4 linked regions of the Caenorhabditis elegans genome follow. The protein of the gene in region 2 interacts with the protein of the main gene of each other region in a pairwise test. Each region holds a gene or a part of one and is shown on either strand. Other genes may lie near its edges. The genes, in order: elt-7, ifa-4, npp-10 and npp-2.

Region 1 (6,128 bases), on a different chromosome or scaffold from region 2:
CTCTATCTTTAGAACTTAAATAAATTTTTTGCAATATGCATTTGGATTTTTTTTTTCCAAAACACAAAAAGCCATATTTAAATAATTTCCTTTCATTTTGAGTGTTCTTTGTAATTTCTGCAGCCTTTCAAATTAAATTATTGTTCTCTAACAACAAAATATTTTTCTTAACCCACGTATTTCGAATCTTATTGGTACAATTCCACACAAAACCTGAGCAATAAAACATATTTCTCCTCACACAGCTTGGTGAATCTGCTGCGGTCACAAGTCACTAGTCCTTTTCCACAATTTCGTCATTCAGTGAGACTTCAATCATCATCTCCTCCCTATGGGACTCTTTTTTAGCCTTCTATTGTTGTACTCTCTGACCTCAACTTGGACATTTTTAGATATTAGGTTCTCCAGGAAGTCTTTGTAACTGAGTTTGCTTTTCCATAGCTCGCCGCAGTTGCACTTTGGTGTTCGACAACTTCGTGACAATTACGTGACAACTTCGTGACAATTACGTGACAACTTCGTGACAACTTCGTGGCAACTTCGTGACAACTTCGTGACAACTTCGAGACAACTTCGTGACAACTTCGTGACAACTTCGTGACAACATCGTGCCAACTTCGTGACAACTTCGTGACAACTTCGTGACAACTTCGTGGCAACTTCGTGACAACTTCGTGACAACTTCGTGACAACTTCGTGACAACTTCGTGACAACTTTGTGACAACTTTGTGACAACTTTGGGACAACTTCGTGACGCTGTAAAGCCAAACGTAGTGTTACCTTCTTTCGCGAGCCAAAAAAACGCGAAAGAGGGGCGGAGTCTGCACACTCGGCATTTATTAGAGGCTGCTTGGCAGAATATAGAAATTGATGGTTTCATCTGTCCCTGGTCTCATCGTTTCAATTTCTACATTAAAGCCCACTTTTGTATTAATATCCCACATATCACCAATTTCTCATCTTATCATAGAATCTTTCAACATTATTATTTGTAACAATATTTGTATAAGTAGTATCTCTAACGTTTTATTTAAGAAAAATAATAATGAAGTTGACATTACAAATGTTTGAATATGGTAATATCAGTGGAAAAGATGACATAGATATATAATCTTTTTTAAAAAACGAATACAAATCAGCGCATAGAACACGGTACAATTGATGTAGAGGGATACGTAATATGCTGGAAAAATGGCGATACAGTCCAAACTTGTCTATTCTTTTTTTGCTTGACGCCGCTTTCGAGTAGTTGGCTTCTGCTTGCAGAGGGATAACGGGCGTTTCACTTTGTTGTGACGGTAATACAAGTTGCAAGCACTGAAAATATTACTTTAATAGTGGAACTAATGATGTATATTTAACTAGTCATTAAAATTAATAAAATTTTAAATTCGAAATTCTAAAAAATAATCGAAAATTATAAGCAAGTTCAACTGAGAATTTTTGATTTGGAATGTAAATGTTCTAAATGTTCGAAAAAATTCAGGGGTAGGCGGCAAGTGCCATTCGGCAAATTTTTTTGTCAACAAATTTGGCAAATCGATAAATTGCCGGTTTGCCATTTTGCCGGAAATTTTCATTTCCGACAATTTGCCGATTTTTCGGAAATTGAATTGATGATTTTTGTTTTTAGAGGGATTTTTTATAAGACGGAAACATTTAAAACTGTGCATTTTTGAAATGTTTTCTCCGTTTTCTTTAGATATTTTCACAGAACTTGCTTACTTTTCAGAATAGATGTAGGAACATTCATAGGATGCGTACAATTTTGCCGATTAAAATTGAAATTCGGAAATTTCCAAAAAAAATGTGCAAAACCACAAATTGCCGAAAATTTTCGGCAAATTCGGAAAATCGACAAATTGCCGGTTTGCCGATTTGCCGACTTGCCAGAAAAACAATCGGTTGCCGCGCACACCTGGTAGAAATAATATAAAAGAATATAATAAAATATAAACTTACTTGCACTCAAGATTCCCTTCATCATTTTTACGCCAAAGTGTGGTTGTAGTTGTTGAGCAGTGTGAGCAGCACGCATCACGAATTACCTGAAAAATTTCATATAGAAATATTTATTTCATTCTAAACCCTCGAATCCTACTTTTGCAATTTTCTTTCCCTTCTGTGAACCAAATCGGTTTCCAGATGATTCGTAACTGCTATCTTGCTCCACAAAGGATTTTTGCTCATTTTCATTTTTCGTCAAGCTTTCATCAAAAATAATTCTGGAATCTTCAAGTGGTTGTAATGGAGTAGTACACATTGACGACTGAATTGGTTGTTCGTATGGAGATGGAATTTGATAACTCTGGAATGGATCAAAGTGATGAGTTGAAGCATCTTGCCAAGTATTGTAGTACACGGGCTGCGGTGGGTAGACATATGGACTGAAAAGTTGGAGTTTTTATTCTCTCAAGCTGAGCTGAGTTTGTAGTACATTTGTGGTGCAGGAGACTAGGCAAAAGATTTGTAAGCAGTTGGTAAAATTTGGCAGGAAAAGTTAAGCGGAAAGTTGTTAAAATTTGTCAGAAAGTTGCCAAAAGTTTTGCAAGAAGTTGCCAAAAGTTGGAAAAAAGTTGCCAAATGTTGTCAAAAAGTTGCCAGAGCTTGGCAGGACGATGCCAAAAGTTGGCAAAAAGTTGTTAAACTTTAAAAGAAAGCTATCAAAAGTTGGCAGAAAGTTGCAAAAAGTTGTCAGAAAATGTCCAAAGATTGACAGAAAGTTGCAAAAATTTTGCAAAAAGTGTTAACATTTGAAAGAAAGTTACGAAAGGTAGACAGAATTTTTTAACTGCTTTGTAGGAAATTGTTAAACTTTGAGAGAAAGTTGGAAATTACCTACAATTGCCAAACAGGAAACATGTTAAGTCATACACTTTAAGCCATTCCCAGCATGAAACTCGTTTTTCAGACTCTCAAATTATAATAATAAACCTTAAAAAATATAATAATTCTCAAAGATTCCTATTCTCAAAAACACTGAAAACTACTGATTATAAGCAGTATACTTTGGAGCATTCGATATTGATTTTTATCAGTTATGCTACATGAGTTCAATAAAACATAGTTTTGGTCACATGTTGGAACAAAGTTGTTGTTTTTGTATACATTACTACAGGAAAGTAATATTTTGGTAGTAATGTAAAAACCATATAATTCTGTTGATAGTGAATATTTCAATTTAAGTTTGCCGTAAAAATAATACAATTACATTATGCAACATTTTTATGCACTGCAATAAAACAGTTTTGATTTCAAAACTTACTTTTGATTATATTGAAATTGATTAAATAAATAATAGTCCTCCATTGGACTTCTCGCTGGCGGCTCATTCATGATAGTCGTAACAGATGGAAGTGGTTGAAGAGTAGTAGTTTCAGGGAGCATTTTTTCCAGTCGACTAGAGCAGACAACTCTAACCACAAATGTCTGTCTTTGTTACAGGCAGGAAAGTAACAAAGAGCCCGGAGAGATCCTAGAGAAAGAGACAAAAAAGGTCAGAGTGATAAGATAGACCGGCGGCGGTGGTGATGGGGAACTGTGTGTGGCTCACCACCCATCATTAGTAGTTTATGATATAATGACTATGAACCTGGACGGCAAAGTTCTTAAAGGGAAGGAGAACGAAAGTAAATATGACTTGGGACTTTTATGGATAGTCGTAAATTAGTGGTAAGTCAGAGATGCATGTACCTATGCCTTGTGTGCCAGTGGACGAGCAAAAAAAGGAAACATGGGAAAGAGGGGGGGGGGGTGCGGCAAATCTCAAAATTTGCAGAGTCCGGCAAAACCGGCAAATTTGACAAATTTGCCCTGGTCGGCGAACCCGGAAAATCTCGATATTTTAAAACTATTTTTTGGATCACAAAATTGACGAAAAAGCTTTAAAAGTGTAGCATTCTGGAAAAAAAATTTTTTTTAAAGATACTCACAAAATTTTGTGTTATTTCATTCATTTCTTTCTTCTAAACTCAAGGCAAATTTTAGAGTATTCCGAGCTTAACAAATGGCAAATTGGACAAATTTGTCGCGAATGGGAAATCTTGTTCCAAGTTGAAATGCTGTGTCCTGGAGGAAGTGTGCAATTATTTTTTTTTAAGTTGAAGTAATGTGCAAAAGGGGCATAAACTGATTGTGAGAGTGCATAGTGTTTATAATTTAATTCTTGTATTATCGGTAGCCTATTTCTAACGTGTTTTTTTTTAAAATACATATAATTTATTTAAAATGAATGCTTGAAAAATCAACATGGAATGTAGTTTTACGTAAACTGTATTTTTCTATTAAAAAAAGTGTAGATTTGGAAAAAGATAAGAATTCAGAACTGTGAGAGGCGATTTTAAATTCATTATTTTTATTCAAATTACTAGCATTCGCGGCTTCTCAACTAACCGACTAACCCCCAATGTGCGTCTCGAGACCAGGATTGAGTACAACTCGGAGGTAATATAAGGTATTAGAATTACGAGTTCTCAGTTAACCGCTACAGATCTCGACACGAAATTACTTACACCACACAAAATGAGGAATCTGCAGAAAATTGGTATAAGATGGCTAATTCGAATTTCCGATCGGCAGTGTTTGAGGTATGAATCCCGATTTTTATAATCGGAACTTTGTGCCTACAGTACCCGCATGTGTTTCAAAATTACCTCTACAGTTTATTTTTTCCACTTCTACGACTTTAAAGGAGGGCGCATTTATTCAAAATGGTCCCGCCACGCTCCACCCATTGGTCTCGCCACGCGCTTCAAAAATCAATGAATGGCGCGTGACGAGACCATTTTGAATGAATGCGCCCTCTTTTGAAGTCGTAGAAGTGGAAACAAATACACTGTACTTTTGCAATTTCGCTCAACTTTTCGCAATTAATAGCGCTAAAACTCCGGGTTTTTGAAAAAAAAAACCAAAAGTACGGGGAAATGGAGAAATATGTGCGCGGAAATACTGTACCTGGTCTCGGCACGATTGAAACCTTTCAGCTACCGTACACCACAAGTTTTCGTAATCGTCTATTTCTAGACTTTCACCAAATTCATAGCGCTAAAATGTGTTTTTAGTGAAAAATTGAGGAACATTTGCGGATACGATACCTAAAAAGACCCACTACCGTAACATAAACAAATATAATTTTCAGAACCGTGTCCACGTGTGGGCACTCCCACTGAGCTATTCTCAATCGAAATATGGTGGCCGGAAGACTCCCTCATCTGCTTGCACAATAATCACTGTCCAGATTGCTCACGATTTCTTGAGGTTTGTGAAATTTTAGTGCGATCGAAAAGTAAATCCATCTTTTAGCAAGAACGTCTGTATCCCACCCACGCATCCTTTGACACCTCAACATCTTCCACTTGGCGTCCTCGATGTTCTTATTAACGGAATTGTTGATGGCAATGAGACACACGAAAAGGCTATGGCAGCTCGACGACGAGGATTCAGTGGAAGTCTAAAAAAGAAGCATCTTGAAGAGACAGGGGAAAGTGGTTCAGTCTTCCAATTTTTGAAGAAACCACATCGAGACACGTTCACTGTGCCAGAAGCTATTCAAGTTCAGCGGCCCGAGATGCATGAGATTGACTACCCATGCTATTCTGGAGACTTTATTAGCAATCTCGTGACAGCTATGTCGATGGCTGTAAACAGTCCGTATCTCTCGAAACTCGATAGATTGGCAATTGGAGTGCTTGCTTTCGAAAGGGCCATGTGTTTTATCTACGATCGCCCGACAAATTCAATAATTCTTCTCGACACTCATATGCATTTTAAAGGACAAGCTGGAAGTGTTCTCTGTGTTGCATCGTTTGAAGATATTACGGATTTCATCGTTTCGGTAACTAAGCTCGTGTTCCATGAAGTTTTCAAAACTGCAGATGTCACCGGTGTAAGTTCCAACTTTTCTCATTTCTAGGTTATACTTTAACTTTTTACAGCAGTTCGAAATTACATGCCTGATGCTTACAAGTCTGATGAACAAAGTCCACAGAGGAGACATCTTTCTTCCAGTCAAATCGAGCATGCCAAGAGTCATACCAGTAAAACCTTTGAGGCCCTTTAGAATCAAAACGAGGTTAGTTTAGAGGAATGGTGAAGGTTTAATCGAATCATTTCAGAAAAATGATTTGCG
Region 2 (7,784 bases):
CCCCACCCGCAATAGGTACAAATGATACATCATTATCGCCTTCAACCTACGCGTTCCATGAATAATTATGCAGAACGACAACAACAAAGGGAGTCGTATTGCAATATGTGTATTGGTACACTGTAATCCGCACGTTGAGCGCACCGAAACGGCTTAGTCAGTTCTTATGAAAAATATTCAGAATACAAAATACATAACCTGTTTTTACGTTCCGAACCGATACCCCTGAATAGGATATGAACTGTAATCAGTTTACGGGCGCGGTTTAACTTTTCAAGAAATGTTAGCATCTGTCCCGAAAAACTGTCATACTCTTTATTAGAAGCGAAACGCTGAATTTTCACATTATATATGGATTCGCAAAGTTTCCAGTTGTTATTTATGTGTTTTTAATACGTTGCAGACGACGTAGTTTATCCCCAAGCTTATTGTCTACATAGATCAAAAACTTGCGTTGCTTTGTATTTGAGTATATAGAATGAAATCACTAGTACTGTAACTTTCCTAAACCTTCTCGTGCACTTTTTATAATTGAAAATTTGACAAAAGGCTAAATTTCGCTAAAATTCTCCAACTTATACGTGTTTTAGGACATTAGGTTTTATTGAATTATTAATAATTTAGCATATTTGCAACGCATACCTGTGTTTAATTAAATATCAATTGAAAACATACCTTACTAATTAAAAATTAGATTAATTATAATGATAGATAAAAATTAGAAAAATTAGATAATTGAAAATTAAAAAATAATTAGTTGACATAAAAACGCGTTATGATTAACCAAAATGCACCAGAAGAATTAAGCAATTTAGTCAACGTTCTTGGAAAATACAACAAAAAATACCACTTTTATTATGAATTTCGGTCTTGTGCCATTTTATACGGATAGTTTGCGATGTGGCGTTGCTCATTTTACAAAAATTGCAAAATTGCCAGTGTAAGTAGAAAATACCAATTAAAAGCTAAAGACGCATTAAGAAATAATTTCCATTTCAAATAAACGTTGTTGAATTAGTAATACGTGTGTTGTTAGTTTAATTTTCATTTAAATCTCACCAAAATTCAATTTTTACTATTTCACCTGCGTGCAATTTTTGACTCATATGCACTACCCAACAAATATGTTATTTCCCTACCTCCCCCTCCCGCAATTGTAAAGCAAAAAAGTAAAAAAATGTTTAAAAAGAGACTCTCAAAATGCAAATGTTTGTTTTGATACCCGCTATCAATCCGCCCTTTTCGCCCATTTTTTCTTCTCTCCCTGATTTTACAGGCCGAGTTTCGTTTGTGTACATGAAGGCAACAGCTCCGCCTCCGTGTTATTTTGCATATATATTTCAGGCAACACCTACGGTTTGTTTGTCCGACACGGTCTCCTTAAAAGGGAGTACTGTAACTGAGCTTTTTTAAAAATGACACTGGTTCTATTTTTCCAATGCAACCTTCCTTTTAAACGTTAGTATAATACTTAAAAACAAAAAAGGAAAGTTTGTTTTTTTTTCTAGTTTCTTAATTAATAAAGTTCGCATGTACTGAAAAAATGACTCTTTTCCTGATGATAATGCAATTTATTTTATACAAATCATAAGTTTCATTAATCAACAGACATCTTAGCATTATGTTTCAGAACATTTTATGTAGATTTGAATTTTAAGGGAAGTTTTAATTTTAAATTCCGTTTTAAAGAAGACCGTTTGCCGTGAGTTTTTTTTTCAGTGTTGTTTTTATTTTAAATGTTTAACTTCAATTTTTTGGCAGTTTTAAAATGAACTTGTATACAAACAATTTCATTAATAATTGTTATTTTGGCTGTACAAGTAAATCACGAACCATAATCAAAGGCTGACTTGTAAGATGTCGGCCGATTTATCTAAGAACGAGATCGCGGGGTGCAGATTTGAAACAATCTGAACCTGTAGACAATATAATCAGCTAAATTTTATTTATTGAACTTTTTCCCAACGCTAATAGTTTCTGAGATAGACACAATCAAATAAATTTCAGAATTATAGATTAAGACCCTTTTGAACATTGAATTTTTAACAAGTCGTAAACATTTCACCTAAATTTTAGAACACGCAGTTTCGATGCTCTGAACTTATTTTTGTCAATTTGTATTCCCATTATCCTCCCCTTATCGCATACTAAAAATTTTTCCATTTTTCGATTTTAGTTTTGACGTGCTTATCTTTTGTCATCCCTTCACAACCAAAACAATTCAGAATAATATAAGGTGTTTACGATCCTTTAATACTCATGAATATGGAAACGTTGTGAAACAGTAGCATTGTGTATAAACACGCCATGACGGCAGCTAGCATCTAGTAATCGGTCACCGAATCGCCGTCGCCACCGCCGTCCGCTTTTGAATAGCGGTCAGTGCGCGTTCGTCAATAGCTCGATGAACCGTTACACTCTCCCAGTTTTTAGTTTCTGTTTCATTTTCTGTTTCATGCCTGGTTTTTTCCTTCTATAATTTGACTATACAGACAATTAGGAGTAAACCCTCCTAGGCATCCTCTTTCCACGCATGCCAAGTCCCGTCAAAATAAATAGTGCGCGCGCCAATTTGTAACACGGTTTTTTGTTCTGTCAAGAGTTAGGGCTCTCGAAACAGCTAATAGATCTCGCGCATTGTCATTGTGTCCTACAAACGATCCATCTCTAATCTGTGTCATATTCACTCATATTCTTGTCACATATGTATAACGTCATTTACTATGAGGTAACTTTTCTACACTTTTTCATCGAAAAATAGTTCGCTGTGTTTTTTTTTTAATTTTCGATTATGAAAATGCAATTAATTGAAAACTATTTAAGTTTCCATGTTTGTAGGAAATGTCGGAGAGCGAATACCGAAGCTCAATTTCGGTTCGACCAACGTTTAACAGAACAATGCAATCCACCGCCACCTATGGAAGTACTATTTGTGAGTTTTCAGATGAATATTTTGAATATGAGCAGTACTTTGTCTTTAAAATTGTATTATATGATGTATTATATGATTTATATTAAAATTAAACCCTCCAAATGTTTTAATTTATGTTTTACAATATTCAATTGGCAATATGCCAAACGTTCAAACAACAACCCTGACCTTTTGAGAAGTTTTGAACATTTTTGCTGATCTGAACTTTCAAAATGTACAAATAAAATCAATTAAAATTCAATTAAAAGAAAAAACTTGTGGAATGTTTTATTGTCTCACTACCAAAATTATGATTGGTGAAAAATGATTAAGTGAACTTTTTTGACTGTAAAGTTAAAAATAAAAATTTAAAAAGTGTTAAAAAATTATTAACATTAATGAATTGATTCCTCTGGAAAACCTACAAATTTTTTTTGTTTTATGGTCATGTTTGTCAAGTGTTATTTTTCAGTTCTGATACACGTTTAAAAACTACTTCAAACTACAAAAACTGACTTCCAAAAATTCAAATTTCAGCTTCTGGAACTAGCCGCACACTCAAGATCACAGAGATCGGTGGATCTAATCTAACATCAGGCATGTCTCCATTCGGAGGCCATGCCGCCTCTGCCATTCGTGAATCTCGTACTCGCGAGAAAAAAGAAATGAGTGAACTCAATGACCGCCTGGCGAGCTACATTGAGAAAGTTCGATTCTTGGAGGCTCAAAATCGCAAGATGGAGAAGGACTTGAATTTGCTCCGTGGAAAATGGGGACACGATTCTACAAGTGTTAAAGTTATGTATGAGACTGAGCTCAGAGTAAGTGAATGAATATTATATACAGCAAAATCTGAGAAACTTTAAATTCTGTTCAGAGTGCGAAAGACCTGATCGCCGATTCTGACAAAGAAAGAGCTCAGCTAGAAGATCAAATTAAGAAACTTGTTGAAGAGCTGAACAACTATAGAAACAAACTTCATGAGGCTGAAAGAGGTGCTGACGTTACACGTAAAGAGCTTGACAATGTGCTCGGAAGACTTGGAGCATTGGAAGCCGAGATTGAGCTATTGAAAAGAAGAATTTCTCTGATGGAAGAAAGCATCGGTCATTTGAAGCGCGAAAATCATCGTATGATCGACTCACTTCATCATGCCAGAAATGTAAGTTTCAGTAGAAAACTTAATTTATATGTACAGCTTTCAGGCTGTGGAACAAGAAACTCTGAACCGCATCGATTATCAAAATCAAGTGCAGACACTACTGGAGGAGTGTGATTTCATTCGCAGAATTCATGATTCGGTATGAAAAACAATTAGTACAGCTTTCAACGAGTGTCTTTTTCAGGAAATCCACGATCTTCTCGCTATGGCATCTCGTGATACTACGGTGGAAAACCGCGAATATTTCAAGAATGAGTTATCCTCTGCTATTCGTGAGATCAGAAGCGAATATGATCATGTGAGAAAAGTCATTAAAAGAGGTAAAAAATAGAGACTTGAATTACAGGTGAGCAACACTACCCGTACTGACATCGAGTCTTGGTACAAGCTGAAGGTTCAAGAAATTCACACTCAAAATTCTCGCAACTGCTTGGAGCAGAATTATGCTCGCGAGGAAGTTAAGAGACTCCGCACAACACTTGGTGATATGCGTGGAAAGATGGCGGATCTAGAAGGAAGAGTTCGTTTTGATGACTATATACATCTGATATTATTTGTCAACATTTCAGAATCTTCTCCTCGAAAAACAAATCGAAGACCTCAACTACCAGATGGAAGAGGATATGAGATCATATGAACAATCACTGAACGATAAGGACACATCGATCAACAAACTTCGTGACGAGAGCAAGATCCTGATGGTTGAGCTTCAAATGCTCATTGATACAAAACAGACTCTCGATGCTGAAATTGTGATCTACCGTAAGATGCTTGATGGAGAAGAGAATCGCGCAGGTCTACGTCAGCTCGTCGAGCAGGTTGTTAAGACAACATCTATTCATCAAACCAAGGAAATTGGTAGGTTCGCGTATACTCAATGTTTACTTCACGTTACGATGACCACAAATTACGGTTAAAATTTAAAGTATACGTCCACTGATAACTTGTTTCAAGTTTTCAAGTCATGCGGTCACCAAACTGTGTAACGTAACTTTATTATTGTTTTCCGCCCAGAGAGACCGCTGGGTGTGTCCCCTTGTTGATATACCTTGGTCAATTTAGTACTCCTATTTAATCGCTTTACTTTTGATTTGGAACAGCATTGTTTCATCTTTAACCCAAAAAAGTAACATGCCAGAAATTCATTGTTCTCAATACGAGACTATCACTTTTGACGACGTTCCCCATACCCATTACCTTGTCGGTGATAAAATTCGCAGAAAGCCGCACGGTAAGATTAATAGGAGTAATAGGTGTCACGAGGCATTGTTAGTTGCAAATTTATATCAGTTTTTGTGTTTTGTTGCAGAGAGTCTTCGAGTTCTCAAAGGTGAAACGACTAGTCATTCGTCGTATTCCAGATCAGCAAAAGGAAATATTGCAATTCAGGTGAGTGGAAATTACATCCCAAAAATTGATGTATATTCTGAAAAAAACAATTATAGCAAAATTTTGAAAGCAATCATGGACATTTTTTGAGCGAGTTTTTGCCTGCAATTTCCACTGAACACTTCAGAAAATGACTATTCTTCAAAATGGCCGTGCACAAAATTTAGAAATATGTGCCTGGTGTGACGATTTTGCATGATCCGACATTAACCGGGTTCGCTGCTCACTCAGAACCTAGTCCTGTGCAAAACCAAATATATGTCGGATCATGCTGAACAAAAACTTTCCTTAAAGTGGCCGTGCCCAAATTTCTGAAAACAGTGTTTTCGATTTTTCATTTTTGCAAGAAAAAAATCCACCATTTTCAGGAAGCCGAGCCATCTGGAAAGTACATTGTACTGGAGAACATCTCAAGACGTGATGAGAACATCGGAGACTGGAAACTCCGTCGGAAGATTGCCGGAAAACGCGAAATCGTGTTCACCTTCCCGCGCGAGTTCACCCTTCGTGCTCAAAAGAGCGTGAAAATTTTCGCACGTGGGCAGGGAGTTCATTCCCCACCCGATAGTCTTGTGTACGACCTCGAAGACTCGTTCGGCACCGGAAACGACGTCGTTACTACTCTCTACAACAAAGAAGGAGAGGTAAGCGTCAATAAATTATGCGCGCTGGAACTGACTGGAAACGTTATTTATCTTGTTTCAGGACCGTGCTTCCCACAGCCAACGTGCTTCACACACCTAATTGCATCAACCAATTAAATCCTATTGAACCCGGAATTACTCTCGCTTGCCTCAACTCTCTACTTTTAATGTTTGATCGAATCTTGACCCAAGATACATTTGTTCTCACCGTTAGCCATTCCTATAAATGTTCGGATTTTCAGAATAAACCAATACTGTTTTGAACCGCCAAAGTGAAACATTGATTTTCGTTTCATATCATACGAAAAGCCTTTCATTTTTTGGCTAACTCTCTAACATTTCCATTGCTTTACCATGTGCTTTTTCCATCAATTAACATTTGTAAACTATAAACTGCTTATTTTATTTCTGATCAGTTTGCTTGGTTATTTTTTTGGGAACTTTTTGTTGGACAACTGGGGGAATAGAAATGGGTAAATGCACAGGGAAAGTAAGGAGAAATGACATATAGAAACAAATACAGAAAAAAGTGATTCGTGGGAAAATGTAAACTTTCCAGAGTCTGATGATTGAATAATGCGGTAAGGAATGAAGCCAATTCTTGAGTGGGGGTTTGTGAGAGGGAAAAACTTGAAATAACTGAAGTGGGATAAAGCCGATAGCTTGACACGTGGATCGACAAAAATACACAGATAACATGAACGCTAAAATTTTGAAAGTAAGGAGCTCAGGCAATGACAGTTAGTGGGGTGGAGGTCCCTGAACATCCCAAGTCGAAAGATGTCTCCAAGACTTCTGAATTCTCATCTCCATTCTCATCTTGCTTCTTGAACTCGGCCAACTTCTTCATCAAGTCTTTTTCGGTTTCTTCGACGCGCAAGATGTCACTGAAATTTAAAAAAACAATTAAACAAACAGTTCTTCTAAAGTGCATTTCGTTTGTCAATTTTGTGGTCCAAGTTGCAGAATTTTGAATACATTTGGTCGACGTGACGTCCTTGATAAGGCAATCAGCCGAACACTCTCAATGTCAATAGATAAAGGACGACGTGGTCACAATCACGTGGATCGATATGATCATCATAATTTCCGGGGTCTCTTTTGTCTGGCATAGTTCAAAGTTCAAAGATCTTACCTTCTAGTCTTGTTGATTGCTTCTTTTGTAGCTGCTAGCGAAGCCTTCAGCTTGTGCGATTTCTTGAGCTCAAGTTGGTATTGTTGCGGCCAGTTTGCAGCGATCATCGGCTTCAGAATTGCTCGCAAATTTTTCTGTTGCTTAAGCAGTTGACGAAGCTCTTCCTCCTGCACAAGATACTCGGCGACTTCTTGTTGATTCATCGTTTCCGACAACTTTTTCACGTCGGCTCTGAAATTTCTTCAATTGGGAGTAAGGCACAACCAATCAGATCACCAAAGACTCACCTTTTGAAACAATCAAAATCGTCTTTCTGTGGGATAGTGGCGGCGCCCATCGTGATATTCTTTTTCTCCATGACTGACATGTAGTCTGAAATGAGATTATATACTAGAAGACATGGTCGGATGACGATGAACTATCCGGTCAGGTCGCGTGGGCGGTCTTTCATACTATTTTCAACCAAAAACCGGAGGAGGATGTGAGATAGTGTGACACAAAATTTGCAACACTGCTAGATTTCTAAAAATATAGTTGCCGAAT
Region 3 (9,595 bases), on a different chromosome or scaffold from region 2:
TCACGCAGCGCACGTTGATTTTTGAAATTTTCTTCTAGAAGATACGCTTAACAACACGCGACGCGTAACATCGGAGCATCGTTGTATCGTTTTCTTCGAGGAAAATAGCGTTTGGCACAGTGCCAGATCCCCTTTTCGTTGCTCCCCTTTTCGTATCTCCCCTTTTCGCAGATCCCCTTTTTGCAGATCCCCTTTTCGTTCTGCTCCCCTTTTCGTGGGGCCTCCCGAATTGCTCTACCTCGTAAAACGAAGCGAACCACTCCAATTAAGAAACGATCATTCCTACTGGCTAAATCCGCCAGACTGAATTATTCAAGAAAACTTTCCATTTATTTAGCAACTTTTATCAAGATGTACTAGATTAACATCATCGCGTGGTCGGAAATTGAATTTTAAATTAAATTCGAGTACTCAATTTATCGTTTTGCTGATTTCTAAATTTCTGTACTAGTTTTCTCATGTGAATAGAACACAACAGTAATAACATCCTACAAAAAGTTCATATTCATAGTAATAAAAAGACGATTCGGGAAATGATGATATACGAGGAAGACAGACGGAGAGGGCAGGAAAATGTAAATAAAAAAAATAAAATTAGAATCAGGTGAAAAATGAATAAATTAAAAAGTGGCTAGTCTAGTCAAATTCAATTGTGAATCTTTCGATTCCCCAAGACGAACGATCACGGAAGATCTTAAACATTTGCCGATGTCCGAGAAGCTTTGTCCACTCTGGAAGTGTATTCTTATCAGCACGGTACTCGAACAAAACACGTCCAATTGTTTGAAGAGAGAGCCTGAAATTATATAAATAGTTTTAAAAAAAACTTATGTCCCAATAGCTTACTTTTGAAGACTGTTCTTGCTGATTGTAGGAGCATGTAGACGAGTTTCCAGACTTTCAAGCACGTCCTGTAAGAGTTCTTCTTCCGCATCATTTTCGATCAAATTGATCAATCGGCAATAATCAGTGTAGACCATTCCAGTCGCACCCCACTCGGGAATCTGATTTTCGAAAGGACGAACCATCGCGCATGCTGCTTTGAGAGCGTCATGATCTCCAGCTACAACTGCAGTTGGTGCAATATCATCCACAAATAAGCGACAAATTTCCAGATAGTTCTTTGCAGCCACAGCCAATTCGAAAAGTTGGGTAGAATCATCGACTGACTTTGCAATTGAGAATTGAGCATCAGCAATCCATTCCGAAGGAATATCGAACTGTTCGGAAATAGAATCAAACATATCATTGTCGGTGAAACGAGCAATACGGTCGAGGAGGGAACGAACTGCTGTTGATCTTCTGGATAAATATATTTATAAATTGAAAGATTCTAAAATTCAACTCACTCTTCATCATCATCAATGTGCTGCAAAACAAACAATGCATATTTTGAGAGACTTGATGCTTCCAATTGAGATGAATAGTTTCTGTGAAGTCTTGTTTCCGAAGTCTTTGACATTGTACGGTATCCAACCGAATAGAGCAAGCTCCATACGTGCCATTGAAGGAAATAATCGTTGGGATTTTCTCCAGCTGCACAGTCAAGTACAACTTCCACTGAGTGCTGTGATTCACATGCCAATTTGATGAGTTCTCCGGGCAGATCTCCACGATTAGAAGCGGCACGGCCAGCATTGACATCTTTCTGATAAGCATCGTAAGATTCTTCTAGACCAGTCCATGCACGAAGATACCAGACATGCAAACCGAGTGCTTGAATCCAATTGAGTCCATCAAGACAGTTGATCGAATGATTCTTTCCGTCTTGATCCCATTCGTAGTGTGATAGTCCTGACATCAGAACATAGCATTTGAGAGTTTCCTTCGGAATCAAATGAAGAGTTTCGCATTTCTTCCAGTTGTCAAGTTGTGCTTTAAAGCAATGAACAGTAGCTTCTGGGCACACAGCAGAAGTCTGAAGCATCGTAGCAAGCTGTGGCTGATTATTATCAATCGCAATTTGAAAAGCTTTATCGATGTCTCCAAGACAGAGTTGATTCCAAACACCATTTGAAGATGTATCCGCACTTCTATCGTCTGGAACAGACTTCACTGCTTCTGTTCTAAGCCATTCTCCAATTTCTTCACCACGCTCGAAAGACCATCCTTCTCGACGTTCATATGGGAATAGAGCAGATATCAACTTCCAAACAGAAACATGTCCATCATATCCACCAGCTTGAGCGACATCGATGTACTTGGCAAACATGGATGAATATGAGTCAGAATAAGTGACGAAGTTAGAAGTGAGCGAAGATTTAACCGAGTTGGATTGTGAAGATGGACCCTTGCGACTGGTTTCAGATACATGAACATTCACATCAAGCATTGAGATTAGCGTGTTCTGAAAATTGATTAAATTAAAAATGGGCCATAGAAGAGAACGGTGTAAAAAAGTACTTAGAAATCCAATTGACAAATAGACTGTAAATCACAGAAGGGCTTTTATAAAGTCACAAATATTACCTCATTCACGTCCGATGTTCTATCAATTGTCCCAAAGAGTACTTGATTGTGTCGGGGTTGAGCTGACCACACAAGACATCCAGTTTCACTCCATCCGACATGTGAACTTCTTCCCTTCACAATTCCTATATCAATCAGTTTGCTCTTTCCATATCCAATCATTTTAGCAGAGTGTCCACCACCGTGGAACCGATGAGCTGGGTCGTTGGCCTTCGGCATGACTTTCAGTTCCTGGAGATTGCGAATGAATCGACTGCTTTCGTATTCCAAATCAGCGAGAAGTTCAAGTTTCGGCTTCTTTTCCGGCTGCTGACCTTCTTCAATAATTGAATCATGACCACTTTCATTGAATTCGGTGGTCATATTTCCGATGCATGATTCTTCTCGACTATCATCCAATGTTCCACCACCAAGACCTTTTCGGTTAACACGACGAATGATCGGCACAACATCACCTAATGCAGCAGGTGCCGGAACTCGTTCCAGAATTATCTGAAACAAATAACTGCTGATGGCTCTCCATATTAAACCCTAAACGGTCTGTCTACCAATACCATTTGAAGAGGCTAATTTTAAAAACAAATTTATTGAGTTAGAAAAGAATAAACGAGAATAATTTGAGTCTTTAGCCTGCCCTAGATGGTATTGGCAAGCAGTCATGTGAAATGCTAAGAATGAAAGCAGAAAATTTTTAAATGAAACAGCAAAACGTTTAGAAGGAAAATTAAAATACGGTGATGATTGAATTATAGTGAGTGACAATCATTCAAAACGGACCTCTTGATGGTGAGCATCCGTTGCCTTGTGCACCTTCTTTCTTTGCACTTGATTGTTCACGTCTCGAGCAGATGTATTCATGTCGATCTGGAAAACTATTTGTGTAAAAGGGTAAAATGAGTTTTAAAAATTTACCACTTGTAATGGAGAAGATGCCTGTAGTGCTTGCTGTGGAGGGGACCCATCCATTGGCTCATCATCGTCGGCCAATCCATACTTGCTGAAATGGTCCACACGGAAGACCCAGCTTCCAGTTTCTGCACGAAAATCTTTGAATGCGGCTCCCATCCGAATCGTTTGTCTCTCGAGATGCTCGCGCCAACCAATCTCGGAGAGTTTCACGACATCTCGCACTTCTTTCTTGGTCTTCTTATCAGTGTACCATACTCTTTCGAGTGTCACTTCTGCTGGCCTATTCAGTTCTTGACCTTCTGGAGCTTTCTCTTCTTCATTCGGATAAACCGTCACCTCGCGATGACGAAATACAACAATCTCGTCGAGAGCAACATCTTTCAGCTCGACTCGTCCTGGCCAGTAGACACTTCCGTACGACGATCTTCCAACTGTCAATCCATCCTCCAACACAACACGTCCGTTCTTGATCATGTTCTTCATCTCATTGATTGTCGGAAGAGAAAAGTAGTCGGGCTTTGTAAGCTTCACTCCTGCTGCCGAATTGACATTAACAGTTTCTTCAGAAGGCGTCGACACAACAGATGCTGCTGAACTAGTTGCAGCAGACACCGGCTCCAAGCCAGTGTGCTCATCGCATGTCGTATCCAAGTTCAACGATGGTGGATCTCTATTTCTGTCATTATGTCTCTGGATTACAGCCTGAACGGGGTCAACTGCTGGAGTGGAAGTGACAACGTCTTGACGTCTTTCGGATTCAGAGATTCGAGGAAGAGCATCTGGATCAGCTACACGGGATTCTCTTCCAACTCTCGAAGAATCTGCGAGCAGAGACATGTCCAACTGCTTCAAATTCGATCTTCTCACGGATCCACGAACTCCAAGACGATTTGAAGTTCCATTCATGGAAGCATCCAGAGCTGAGTCGATAGTTTTGTCGAGGGCACTTGATTCGTGAACACTTCGATTTGTCAGCGACATATTCGGATTGAATGTGCTGTTTCGAAGTCCGCGAGCAAGTGATGGTGGCGCTTCTTTGGAAGTGTAGTTCAAATCTTTGGTGACATCGGCTGACCTGGTAACTGCTGGAGAAAGATCACTCATCACTTTGCTGATTGGTGGAATGATAAACGACGAATCTTGTGCATCAGAAGACGATGACAGAGCGCCTTTCTTCGCAGCAAGGAATCTCAGCTGTCGTTGAGTACTAGCCGGCGAAGACTTCCCATCAATTTCTGGATTCGCATTGTATTTGAGTAGTGGTGAATCACCATACGGCGCATTTGTCAACTGCGACTTCAATGACTTCATGTTTGCTTGCATCTGGAGGACATCAGCCGTAACGCCAATCACAGGTACCGGGGCCACTTGTTGTTGCATTACAATTTGCGGTTGAGCAAGATTTCCGAATCCAGTATTCAACGGCTGTGTAGCTTGAGTGTTTGAACCAAACAGTCCTCCTGAAGAAGCTTGTGGCTGGGAACCAAAGAGACCGCCGCCTGTTCCAGTATTCGTCGTATTTCCGAACAAACCACCTGGCTTTGCTGCATTGTTTCCAAACAATCCACCTCCGGTATTTGTGGAACCGAAGGCATTTGTAGTTGTTGGCTGAGTGGCTCCAAATGTGAAGCCGGTACTTGTTGCAGGCTTCGCACCAAATAACGAACTGCCAGTATTGGCTGTCGAAGTATTTCCGAAGAGACTTCCACCGGTGTTTGCAGCAGCCGGCTGACCGAAAGCATTTGTCGCCTGAAAATTAATAAAATATTGAAATTCTAGGATATCTTAACTCACCGCTGGGGCACCTCCGAAACTGAATCCACTCGATTGTTGCTGTGGTTGTTGCTGAGCTTGGCCGAAGAGTCCGGTACCAGTCGTCCCCGTGTTGCCGAACAGGGACCCAGATTGATTTTGATTCTGTGTATTCCCGAACAACGATCCACCAGTATTCGTCTGTGGTTGTTGATTGCCGAAAAGAGACGATCCAGTTGTCTGACCGAATGTTGAAGCTCCTGTTGTAGCTAAGTTTAAGGTTAAAAATTGTGTTGATGCTAGATTTATTCTTACCTGTAGATCCGAACAGTGACGAGCCCGCTGGTTTAGCTCCGAAAAGAGATCCACTTGCAGCAGACGTGTTGGCGTTGTTGTTACCGAACAATGAACTTCCAGTGTTTGCTGTGCTCGTGTTCCCACCAAATGGAGATGACGTCGAAGCTCCCCCGAACAGAGAAGTCTTCTGTTGAGCATTACTTGATCCAAAAAGCCCACTGCTTCCAGCTTGGTTTGTTGTGTTGGATGCTCCAAAAAGCCCACCGCCAGTGGAAGTCGTTCCTGTTCCGGGAGCCTTTCTATTTGCAATGTAATCCTCCACTCGGAGCTCTTCAATACTCTTTCCATCGTACTTCGACATTGCAGAAATGCACATGTGCTTCGTGGAAATTGTCTGAGTTGTCCCATTTCTCATCATAGTATCAGAACTGATCGGTGGCTCAAACTTAACAGTGGTTCCAGATACGGTCGATGCTGAAGCTGATACAAGATTAATTTATTTATCGAAAATCAATTGTTTACCTCCAAAGAGACCTCCACCAGATGGTGCATTATTATTGGAACCAAAAATGCTGCTGGTTCCAGTATTGTTAGCGTTGTTACCGAATAGGGAACTGCTTGCGGGAGCTGCTGAAGAAGTTGACCCAAAGATACTTCTGTTGGCATTGTTCTGCCCTCCACCGAACAATGAACTCTGGTTGTTCTGAGGCTGCTGCGGACTTCCTAAAATATTAAAATAAATCAAACGCATACAATTATTGATCAAAATACCGAATATGCTGGAAGTGTTGCTGGCCGCTCCGAAGATTGATCCTGCCGGCTTGTTCTGTGCCGCCCCGAAAAGGCCAGTAGTTCCACTGTTATTGGCTGGCTGACCAAACAATCCTTTGTTTTGATTGTTCTGGTTGTTTTGTCCAAATAGACCGCTCCCAGAGCTGCCACCGCCAAAACTCGATGAGCCGAATGATTTGTTCTGGCCGAACATTTAGCTGAAACTTGCAATTGATGAGACGGTTATAGATGAAGCGATGAGCAAGTAATAATTTGCAGTGAATGAAAGGCGGTTGTCATGAACATTCTGCTAAGAGCTGTCACAAGTTTTCATACAACCAAAAAGATAGCATTTACTTGAAAATGTACTTTAGGATTTCCAAATCGGAATTACTCTACACTCAAATTGCACGCTAATGCGACTAGACGGACATTGATTGATTGATCAGGTTACAGGTACATATTTATGACTGAAAATGTGCAAGAATAACACAAAAAATGGGAGAACAACTTCTACAACCAAACTCGAGATGAAAAAATGAGCGAAATGATTTCGAATGCAAAAATTTTTTCGAAGTGATTCTGAAATCGCAACAGAGCGAGTTTGCATTATACACCCTGCGTCTCTTAAGTTCACACACTGTCTCACTGCGCGAGGGTTTTTGACAGTTCTCGACAAGTCTTTTATTTTTTCCCGCAATTCGTGTTTTTTCGTGGGGTTTATTGGAATAAACTGTTTTCCATAATCGTTCTAAAGTCGGTCTCCACTGAAAAACTTTTACAAATGCTTTTCTTTTCAAATAAATTGATTTTTACATTTTTTCTTTCAGATTCGGCAAGAAAATCTGGTTCAGATGCTCAAATGCCATAATCCGAAATGGGTAACACGTTAACTGGACGTTCGAACGCTATCGCACCGATTATCAGTGCGGAAGATGCTAAAACTTATAGTGAGTTTCAGGGATGTTACAAAACAAACATAAACTCAAATTTTTAGTATCGGACGAGGAGTATCGACGAATTCGCCAAGCTTTCCAACGCTTCAAAAATGGATGCATTAATTATGACGTAACTGTTTTTAATTATTTTTTTAACTTCACCATTTAAGGAATTCTGCTATCATGTTCTCGGAGGCGCGCAGATACCAGAAGAAAAACGACGCCTGCTGTTCAGCTTCTTCTCTCATGGCGCTGAAACCATTTCCTTTGACAATTTGCTTTCATCTCTTGTTGGATTGTGTAGAGTAGAAGAAGTACAATCGAGTCAGTCAAGAAACATTTCAGAAATAATATTAAATTATTTATTTTCAGGGTTTATCGAAGAATATCACGAGTTCGCGTCATGGGGATTGAGTCCTCCTAAGCTTACGATTCCGCTCAATGATTCCTATATCTCATTTTACGAAGTGATGTCTTATGTGACGCATTGTAAGATTTAAATTATCTTGATTTCCGTATTTCAAAAACCATTTTTCAGTATCCGTGAACGAGGTTATCGAGTTAGAGAAAGTGTTCGCCACGATCAGTGATCGAGCTGTCTGCAAACTGAATGAAGAGAAGTGGAAACAAGCATTGGGTGGATGCTTCCCGGATAGTTATGCTGAGAGATTATTCGCTGTTTTCGATGAGAATCGAGATGGTCAAATTGACTTCAGAGAGCTCGTTTGTACACTTTCGGCTCTTTGTCGTGGACCTCTACCAGGGAGAATTTCTCGTGAGTTTTTAAGAAATTATTTTGAGAAACTAAAAAGTTGTTTTAGAGTTGGCACGAATCTGGGACGTCGACTGTGACAAACTTCTGTCTGACGAAGAACTTTCTAACATGTACAAAGATCTTAATGTCCCAGAAGAACATCAGACTGTCACAAAATCATCGAATGGGAAATCTGCTCTCGTTGATTTTGGAATATGGGCACAGGAAAACGAAAAATATGTCAATGAATATTATTCTATGGCTCTTCAAATCGGACACATTTGTCTCGGATTGAGACCAGAGTCACGGAAAATGGAATTACAAATTGTGAAGTTAGTGTAGCTTTCAATTCTCAGTTTAAATAACTTTGAATTTCAGCGAATTTGAAAAACGTGCCTCTGAGCTTCCACTTTCCGAGTGGAACATTGTAGCTTCAGGATGGCATGCTGAGCTCAGATCCTTCCTGGAAGCAGATAAAAATCCGAATCCAATCGATAATTCTGGTATCAAGGGAACAAGAGAAGATAGCTGGACCAGCAAGGTTTGACTTTCTAGTCCGGAAAAGTAAAGAATTAATTAATTTTCAGGTTGCTTGCATTTCAGCTGAATCAGCTCGTCTGAAACCCGATCTTATTCCATCTGACTACATCCGAGTGCCTGTTCCACTTTGGAGAGCATGGCTCCGATGGCACGGATGTGCACTGACAGTAGATTCACAATTCACAAGAAAGTATCTGGATGGTGAATTCTTTGAAGACAACAAGCCCGCTCTTGAACTGTATCCACTCGAAATTCTCCTTCTGGGCCATGATCGTAAGAAGAGCCAGGATGGTACAGAAAACACTCCAAGATCCTTGACATCCTGGGCGTGTGCTCAAGTATCACGAAGTATGACTGTGGATGAGCTTCTCGCGCTGTGCAAGACAGAACTTCGACTCGGAGATGGAGACGCAAGGCTTTGGCAAGTTGTGAAGGAGAATGAAGAAGGAAATGTACTTTTGGACGATGGAGCACAAAATCTACATCAATTATACTCGTCACTAGGGAAAACGAAAAAAGTGAATAAAATGAAGCTTTTACTGGAAGTACGAGAAAGAGGAACAGGAGTGTGGCCAGAAGAATTACGAGCATCTCTTTCCGGGAAACAAATCACTGCTGCTTCTACTTTATCCTCGAATGCACAATTGTCAGGTAAATCTTTTATTCGACTTTATTAAAAGCACATAAATAGTTTATGTTTTTTTTCTCAAAAAACAAAAAAATCGCAATTATCAAAAAGCTCTCATTGTCAATCAATTCCCATAAGATTCTTCAGGTCGCCCAGGAGCAGTTGGTCTTGTTAACTACGGTAACTTCTGTTACCGTAACGCCGGAATCCAGTGTCTTGCGAGAGTTTCCCCACTCACTCAATATTTTTTGGATGAGGATAATTTGGATGCTATCAAAAGAGGGAACTTGAGGCGAGGAGATGCGGCAGAGACGACAATTGAGTATGCGAAACTGCTCAGAGAAATGTGGGCAGCGAAGAAGAAAAATATTGCTCCGAATGATTTTAATGTGAGTTTTGTTATTATAAGTTGAAAATGAATTATTCAAATTTATAGGATGCTATTCGATTGAGCTCGGATATGTTTGAATGTAGTGAGCAGCATGATTGTCAAGAATTTGTAGCATTCTTGCTGGATCAGCTTCACACTTCAATGTA
Region 4 (6,367 bases), on a different chromosome or scaffold from region 2:
TTGCCGAATGCCGAAAAAATAACCTTCAGACACTAGTCGTTTTGAATTTTCCAACATTATTAAGTTGTGTTTTCGAATCAAGCAAATATTTTACTTCATTTTTTATTCAAAAAGTTTAATTGGTATACTGAAATGAAAAGATTTACTCGATTGCCGAGATTTTAAAGATTTTTTAAATTAGAATTTCGGATTTTCAAATATTTAGCTTAATATATATCCTCTGACATACTTTGGAACGAATTGAGTGACTGGTCTGCGTGGACGCAGATCAGGATGAACAAAGAAGAGCATATGTGGGAATCCGGTGCCAAAATAGCTTCCATCAGTATGTTGATGACGTGATGATCGTGGAACGAAAACATCATTGCAACGTGGACAGTACAATTTCACCATAGCCTCGCCAGGAACATCAGACAATCCTGGAAAAATTGGAATTTTACAGAAATTTTAGTGTAAAAACAAATATTTGTTTTAAATTTTATTGGAAATGCACTTTTAAATTAGGAAAATTTAGTACTTTATAGTTTCACTTTTCTCAAAAAAAATTATCCGCAACCAATGAAGTAGCGATTTTTTTATAACTCACCAATTGGAAGCATTGGCTGATTTTCACAGTAGACACGTGGGCAAACTCCAAAGTCATGATCACGCCACTTTTCGACCATCTGTGAGATTCCTCTATTCGTAAGAATATATCTAGCGTGAATGAGTCCATAAAGCATTTCAGCGGCTTGTTCAACAAGATCAGTGTTCGTTGCGTTATCCTCTATGTCATCTTCTAGAAAAAGGTTACATTGCGGGGGCACATGAAGTCAGCAAAAATATCACCTGGTTCTAAGTCAAGAATCATGTCAAGAGCCTGTCGATACTTGGGCACTTGCTCATTGAGACCTGTCAAATTGAACCGATCCTGAATATATTCCTCGTCGACTTCACAGAAAAACTCATTTCCACGAAGGCCACAGAACCATGTGATCCATGATACCTGAACAAAAAAAAAGATTCGAAACTAAAAATAAATTTCACCAATCGACCATAAAACTTGTTATTAAATTCATAGTTTAAAATATAAATCATTAAAAAAAACGGCTATTTAGATTTTTCTGATTGTTTTCCGCAGAAAATAGAAATATAATACAAACCTCCTCCGAACTACTCATGACTTCTGATCCAGACAAACTAGCGCTTTGTTCTGACTGCGAACCAGACTCTGCCTGTAATCAAAAGAAATTTTTTTTTGATAATATTTTAATGATAACTCACCGAAGTGGAATCGAGTTGGCGCCAGCGAGCAGAAGCCGTGGCGTTCACGTCGATGACTGGCCGAGTTGCGCGCAAAGCACACAACTGCCTGAAATTATGGGTACAGGTTGGGTGAAATGGTTCAGAATTATTGAAAAAAGCAGAAGAAAATCAATAGATCACAGTCATGTGCGCCCACATAAATTCATAAACTCCAGCAGTTTTCTGTCGAAACAGAAAAAAGAGGACGAGGGAGCTGACGAGGCCTTGTGGACGTGCAATGGGGCACGGTTGCATAGCACATAGGTCACTATCGATCTCTGGGGAAAACTCGAAAAGAAGGTAGGTTGGCCTCGAAATTCAACGAGTTTGTGTGGAAAACCAAGTAATAGTAAAAAAATTAAGAGATGTGATCCTTATTCACATACAAAAAATTAAATTTTCTGAGATCCCAGAACAAAAAAGAACATCGGCAAATGTAAATAAAATAAAATTAATTCATAAATTATTCAAGAGCACGCAATTCCTTTCGCAATCGAGTCTGTCAACTTGAGCATTACCATCTTTTTGAGCACTTTCACCTGTAACAATTTATAATTATATGATCATAAAAATGTCTATAAAACTTACCTTTTTCATATAATTATCATTCAAATCTCGATGTTTATCAAGCGTAAACGTTGACAAAAAGGTTGAGAGCTCATAGAGAATCTCCTTGGAAAATCGGATTCCAGCACGCCCATCCTCTTTGATAATCGTGATTAAATAATCGAAGAGATCATAGTAATACTGAGTTGGAACATCAGGCATCATAATAAGCGGTATCAGATGTTGAACACAGTCCAGTACATCACCACAGTGCATCATCTTCACAAATCGTTGATAAGAGTAGAGGAAGGTAAGAGATGGAAGTGAGAGTACAGAATGATTGGTTATTGAAGATAAAACTCTTAATGCAGCCAATTCATCCTTCGAACTTGAACCAACAATTCGAGATACTGTCCAGTCAATTGTCTTTTTGGATCCAGTTTTCAACGCCCAAGCGAGTGTTGAACTCCAATGTCCTTGCTTCAGATACCGGAAAGTCATTGTATTTGTCACACAACTTTTCGCGTCTTCCAGTCGATGCTCTTCACATATTTCCAGCAACTGCTCAGCCATCTCATCATCCTCAATGTGAAGCCCTTCGATGTGTGTTTCGAGACGTAGAAGTCCTTCGGTACCACACGCAATAAGATATCCGGCTCCGATTTCCCACAGACTATAAAAAATTTGTGAAGTTATATTTTAAAATGTTTTTTCAGTAATTAGAAATTTCAAAAACTAACGGAGAATGAGAGATAAGAACACTGGCGTAGTCCAACATGTGCATTTTCCTCATCACTTCAAACTCGGGATCCAATGTGGATTTGTGAATAAGATCAACCAGGTGAACTGCGAGCCAGGGATTCGAGGCAATCAACTGAAATTTTATTCAGTAAAATTAATTAATTCTTATTTAAAACAATCTAGAATTTATTTTGAAGAAAATTGTTAAATATTCTTGAACATTATTTTGATTTTTTTTTATTGGGATAAAATTGAATGAAATGTTCTGTCGCCGTTTAATTAATCGTGAAAGAAATAGTGAGCCTATTTTCAAGAGATATTTATATTTAATTTAATTTCTTGAATAAAAACAAGAACCTGTTGAAAGTTAATATCATCCTTCGAAATAAGACACCAGAATACATCATTTTCCTTTGCACCCTCCTCTTCCTCTTCTCCAACGAATAGTGTTCTACACTCATCAGCTAGCTCAATGAGCTCGACATGTCCGGCGAATGGATTCTTGACAAGCACAAAGAATGGCAGAAAATGCCACCACGTGTCGAAAATCCGTGAAGCCATAGATACGAGGTATCGTTCCTCACCGAGTAGGAGCTTCGTAAGATATTTGAAATTTTCGTTGCTCCCGTACTTCCCACTTGTCAAATTTTCACGCATGATATCCTTCCATTCATTTACTGTGTTAGCCTGAAATAAGAATATTACGAAGTTTAAGAATTATTATATAAATGGGTCTTACTAATGCTTCGTCGACTAAGTTTTCGGGATTGAAGAATGTGAGAGCCTCAATGAATGCATCACATTCTGATCCGCCTCCATGTAGCTCCAACAGTTCAACACAATCGCTGAAATTGCAACTAAGCAAGCTGACTGCTACTCCCTTCCAATATTCTTCTGGAATCGTCTTCCCCGGATGCAGATATTCCACAGCTGATTCCATGGCTCCTCTAGAAAACGTGAAGCTCTGATTGGCCCATGAAATAAGATCCGCACATATCGAGCTATCACCTCTTCCAAACCATAATTTCTCGTAAAGTGACCACAAAGCAAAGTCTGTCATGAAGTCGGAACTGCTGTGAGACACGGCGGCATTGTAGAGAACTGAACGATAAGCTCGAGAGAATGTGCAGCAAGTAGGCGTGTCTAGAGGTGCATCAGGTGAGGAGCCTTTTTGACATTTATCAAATACAGAATACATTTCGATAACAAGTCGTCTGAGATTTGGTGTCGCAAGAATTTGTCGATTTTGTGAAACTTTCTCGACCAAGACTGTTTCTGAAAAATCTCTTATGTTGGAAACTGAAGAAGATGCAATTTTTACCTTTATTTGAAAATCCTTTTTTATCTGTTAGGAAGGCGAAGACCGTGGAGGAGTCGCTGACAGCTATCCCGAATTCTCGAGCGACATCCGTCATCTGAAAGAGATACTAATGTCATGTGAAGTGGTATTAAAAATATAGTAAGCACGGTAGAAACATTAACTTATAAAATTGAGATTTCTGATAAATAAAATTTTTCCGGGAGTTCTGTAAAACTTCTTACGGTTTTAACTTGATAATTCCATAGGGTTTAAAATTTCCTTTTGTTTCTTGAGTTTCTTCTCGGAATTTGAACAAAAATAACGCGTTTAATCTCGAATCAGTACAATGATGGACTACACGGCAGTTTTAAAAAACCAATTAATAATAATAATCCTAAAAAATGAGAAGAATATTTAAGAAAATGTAAAAGTTTTCCGCGGAATTCCGCTAAAATTCGAAAATTGAAAGTGTTCAAATTGCAAGCGATTGTGCATTCAGACGTGACAGTGTCTGGGGTGTATTGCGTACTCGACATTTTAACTGACGACACTTGTACTTTTGCGCCATACTTCCGGAGCTCCAGCTCCGCGGAGCCCTGAGCAATTATTTTTTTACTTTTTATGAAAAGCTTTCTATAGATATCTTTTAAGAAGTTACACTATAATTGTGCAAATCAAACTGGCTCCGGACAACACAAATTTCGTCTATACCTTTATGATCTTTTTTTGTTAAACAAGTGAAACAATTATTTCCTTTTCAAACTGCTCTTGTTTCTTCTCTTTATTAATCAATTTTTTTTTTTTTGCTTTGTGTAAATTAATTGTTTGTCGCGGATGAGCTAATTCTGAGGTTTGACCAGCAGAAATCTGTTTTCTGAAAAATCAATAACTCGCCGCTTAATTTTGGTTTTATTCAAGTGATATGCAATTAGAAGGTTCTAATCATTTATATCTCGCTGAAAGATCTCAGATTTCAAGCCTTTTGCTAAGGATTTAATTCCTAAAACTTTTTTTGACCTATCATTTTTTGTGTGATCTACCGCTGTAAATACTTGTTGTTTTGCGGCTAAACTCTTTCAATGTTTCCAACAAGTGAGCCAATATCAAGTAAAAAAAGAAAAATCGTTTTCTATTCAACCATTTTATTCTGTAAATAATATTAAATTCATCTTCACGGTACAATCTTCTTCTCCCATCTAATAAAGTCCACGCACACTCCGTTCCGTCGTTTCCCTATTCGTTATCATTCATCATCTTGCCATTTTCTTCTCCGCCAAATCCCATTGTCTTATACTAAATTTCATCCTCTCGTCTGTAGAAGTGTATATTATTGAAAAATTAAAGTATATTTTCAGGATGAATGGGGATGTGCAGTCAGTCATTCGCGGATATCTGGAGCGAGCCCAAGTCGCGAAAACAATGTCCGATGCCGGACGATGGAATGAGGCTGGTGATCTTCTTCGTCAGCTCATGACAGATGTCAAAAGCTGTAAAATTTCGGCAAGCAACAGAGACGAGCATGACGCAAGAAATGTACGTAATATAAATCTTTTAAAAGCTTGTTGAATTATTTGAAATTTCAGACATTCCTACGAGCCCTAGAGGCTAATTTGAAGCTTGTCCAACAAAATGTGCGCGATGAAGATGACCTACACGAGGCGATGACGCGACAAAGTGGAAGTCCAGAGCCACCTGCAGACCCAGATGTTTGGTCCAAACCATCGCCACCGTTACCATCCTCATCGAAATTTGGAGCAACAAAGAAAGGAGTTGGAGCAGCAGGTCCACGTCCCAGAGAAATATCAAAGTCAACGTCGTCGATGAGCACGAATCCGGCTGATGTGAAGCCTGCGAATCCAACACAAGGAATACTGCCTCAAAATAGTGCTGGAGATTCATTCGATGCATCGGCTTATGATGCGGTAAGTTATTATGTTTTCCAGAAACAAAAATCAGAAATCTTTTCAGTACATTGTTCAAGCGGTGCGTGGTACAATGGCTACAAATACGGAAAATACAATGTCTTTAGATGATATAATCGGAATGCACGACGTGAAGCAAGTTCTGCACGAAGCCGTCACTCTTCCACTCTTGGTGCCAGAATTCTTCCAGGGTCTCCGTTCACCATGGAAAGCAATGGTTCTCGCTGGACCACCTGGAACTGGAAAGACTCTTATCGCACGTGCGATTGCTTCAGAGTCTAGTTCAACTTTTTTTACCGTTTCCTCGACTGATCTGTCCAGCAAGTGGCGTGGTGATTCCGAGAAGATTGTTCGTCTGTTATTCGAACTTGCACGGTTCTATGCTCCATCCATAATCTTCATCGATGAGATTGACACACTTGGTGGACAACGTGGAAATTCTGGAGAACACGAAGCGAGTCGGCGTGTTAAATCCGAGTTTCTGGTACAAATGGACGGGTCACAGAATAAATTCGATTCGCGACGTGTATTCGTGCTGGCCGCCACAAATATTCCATGGGAGCTCGATGAGGCA

The links.
Region 1: the proteins of ifa-4 (region 2) and elt-7 interact in a two-hybrid assay, tested with the Caenorhabditis elegans proteins (one large-scale study listed by BioGRID).
Region 3: the proteins of ifa-4 (region 2) and npp-10 interact in a two-hybrid assay, tested with the Caenorhabditis elegans proteins (one large-scale study listed by BioGRID).
Region 4: the proteins of ifa-4 (region 2) and npp-2 interact in a two-hybrid assay, tested with the Caenorhabditis elegans proteins (one large-scale study listed by BioGRID).

Annotation. Positions count from the first base shown.
Region 1 is NC_003283.11:4,767,974-4,774,101, reverse strand, and holds elt-7 (Transcription factor elt-7), read right to left. Parts: upstream 3,433-6,128; 5' UTR 3,389-3,432; coding exon 3,267-3,388; intron 2,389-3,266; coding exon 2,103-2,388; intron 2,050-2,102; coding exon 1,964-2,049; intron 1,319-1,963; coding exon 1,216-1,318; 3' UTR 1,016-1,215; downstream 1-1,015. Other genes in the region: C18G1.9 (FERM domain-containing protein), read left to right, coding at 4,407-4,444, 4,491-4,587, 5,139-5,257, 5,303-5,885, 5,935-6,071, 6,115-6,128. UniProt on the Caenorhabditis elegans protein: Transcriptional activator that binds to the consensus sequence 5'-[AT]GATA[AG]-3'.
Region 2 is NC_003284.9:4,911,034-4,918,817, reverse strand, and holds ifa-4 (Intermediate filament protein ifa-4), read left to right. Parts: upstream 1-2,838; 5' UTR 2,839-2,841; coding exon 2,842-2,932; intron 2,933-3,448; coding exon 3,449-3,732; intron 3,733-3,788; coding exon 3,789-4,073; intron 4,074-4,116; coding exon 4,117-4,212; intron 4,213-4,257; coding exon 4,258-4,371; intron 4,372-4,419; coding exon 4,420-4,593; intron 4,594-4,642; coding exon 4,643-4,931; intron 4,932-5,382; coding exon 5,383-5,462; intron 5,463-5,830; coding exon 5,831-6,106; intron 6,107-6,167; coding exon 6,168-6,206; 3' UTR 6,207-6,510; downstream 6,511-7,784. Other genes in the region: K05B2.2 (Ras-associating domain-containing protein), read right to left, coding at 6,834-6,993, 7,242-7,472, 7,529-7,613.
Region 3 is NC_003281.10:6,013,137-6,022,731, forward strand, and holds npp-10 (Nuclear pore complex protein Nup98), read right to left. Parts: upstream 6,427-9,595; 5' UTR 6,413-6,426; coding exon 6,199-6,412; intron 6,151-6,198; coding exon 5,950-6,150; intron 5,908-5,949; coding exon of another isoform or gene 5,902-5,907; coding exon 5,446-5,901; intron 5,400-5,445; coding exon 5,173-5,399; intron 5,128-5,172; coding exon 3,382-5,127; intron 3,334-3,381; coding exon 3,247-3,333; coding exon of another isoform or gene 3,232-3,246; exon of another isoform or gene 3,037-3,231; intron 2,962-3,036; coding exon 2,470-2,961; intron 2,348-2,469; coding exon 1,350-2,347; intron 1,303-1,349; coding exon 847-1,302; intron 797-846; coding exon 637-796; 3' UTR 311-636; downstream 1-310. Other genes in the region: Ubiquitin carboxyl-terminal hydrolase cyk-3, read left to right, coding at 7,076-7,148, 7,196-7,266, 7,307-7,460, 7,509-7,625, 7,675-7,911, 7,958-8,222, 8,269-8,431, 8,478-9,081 and 2 more. UniProt on the Caenorhabditis elegans protein: Nup98 and Nup96 play a role in the bidirectional transport across the nucleoporin complex (NPC). Required for the nuclear import of hcp-4 during mitotic prophase, this step is essential for centrosome assembly and resolution.
Region 4 is NC_003279.8:8,289,655-8,296,021, forward strand, and holds npp-2 (Nuclear pore complex protein Nup85), read right to left. Parts: upstream 3,987-6,367; coding exon 3,893-3,986; intron 3,847-3,892; coding exon 3,311-3,846; intron 3,259-3,310; coding exon 2,929-3,258; intron 2,705-2,928; coding exon 2,571-2,704; intron 2,504-2,570; coding exon 1,873-2,503; intron 1,824-1,872; coding exon 1,752-1,823; 3' UTR 1,645-1,751; downstream 1-1,644. Other genes in the region: kin-10 (Casein kinase II subunit beta), read right to left, coding at 230-419, 587-778, 829-985, 1,143-1,160; Meiotic spindle formation protein mei-1, read left to right, coding at 5,228-5,404, 5,455-5,793, 5,840-6,367.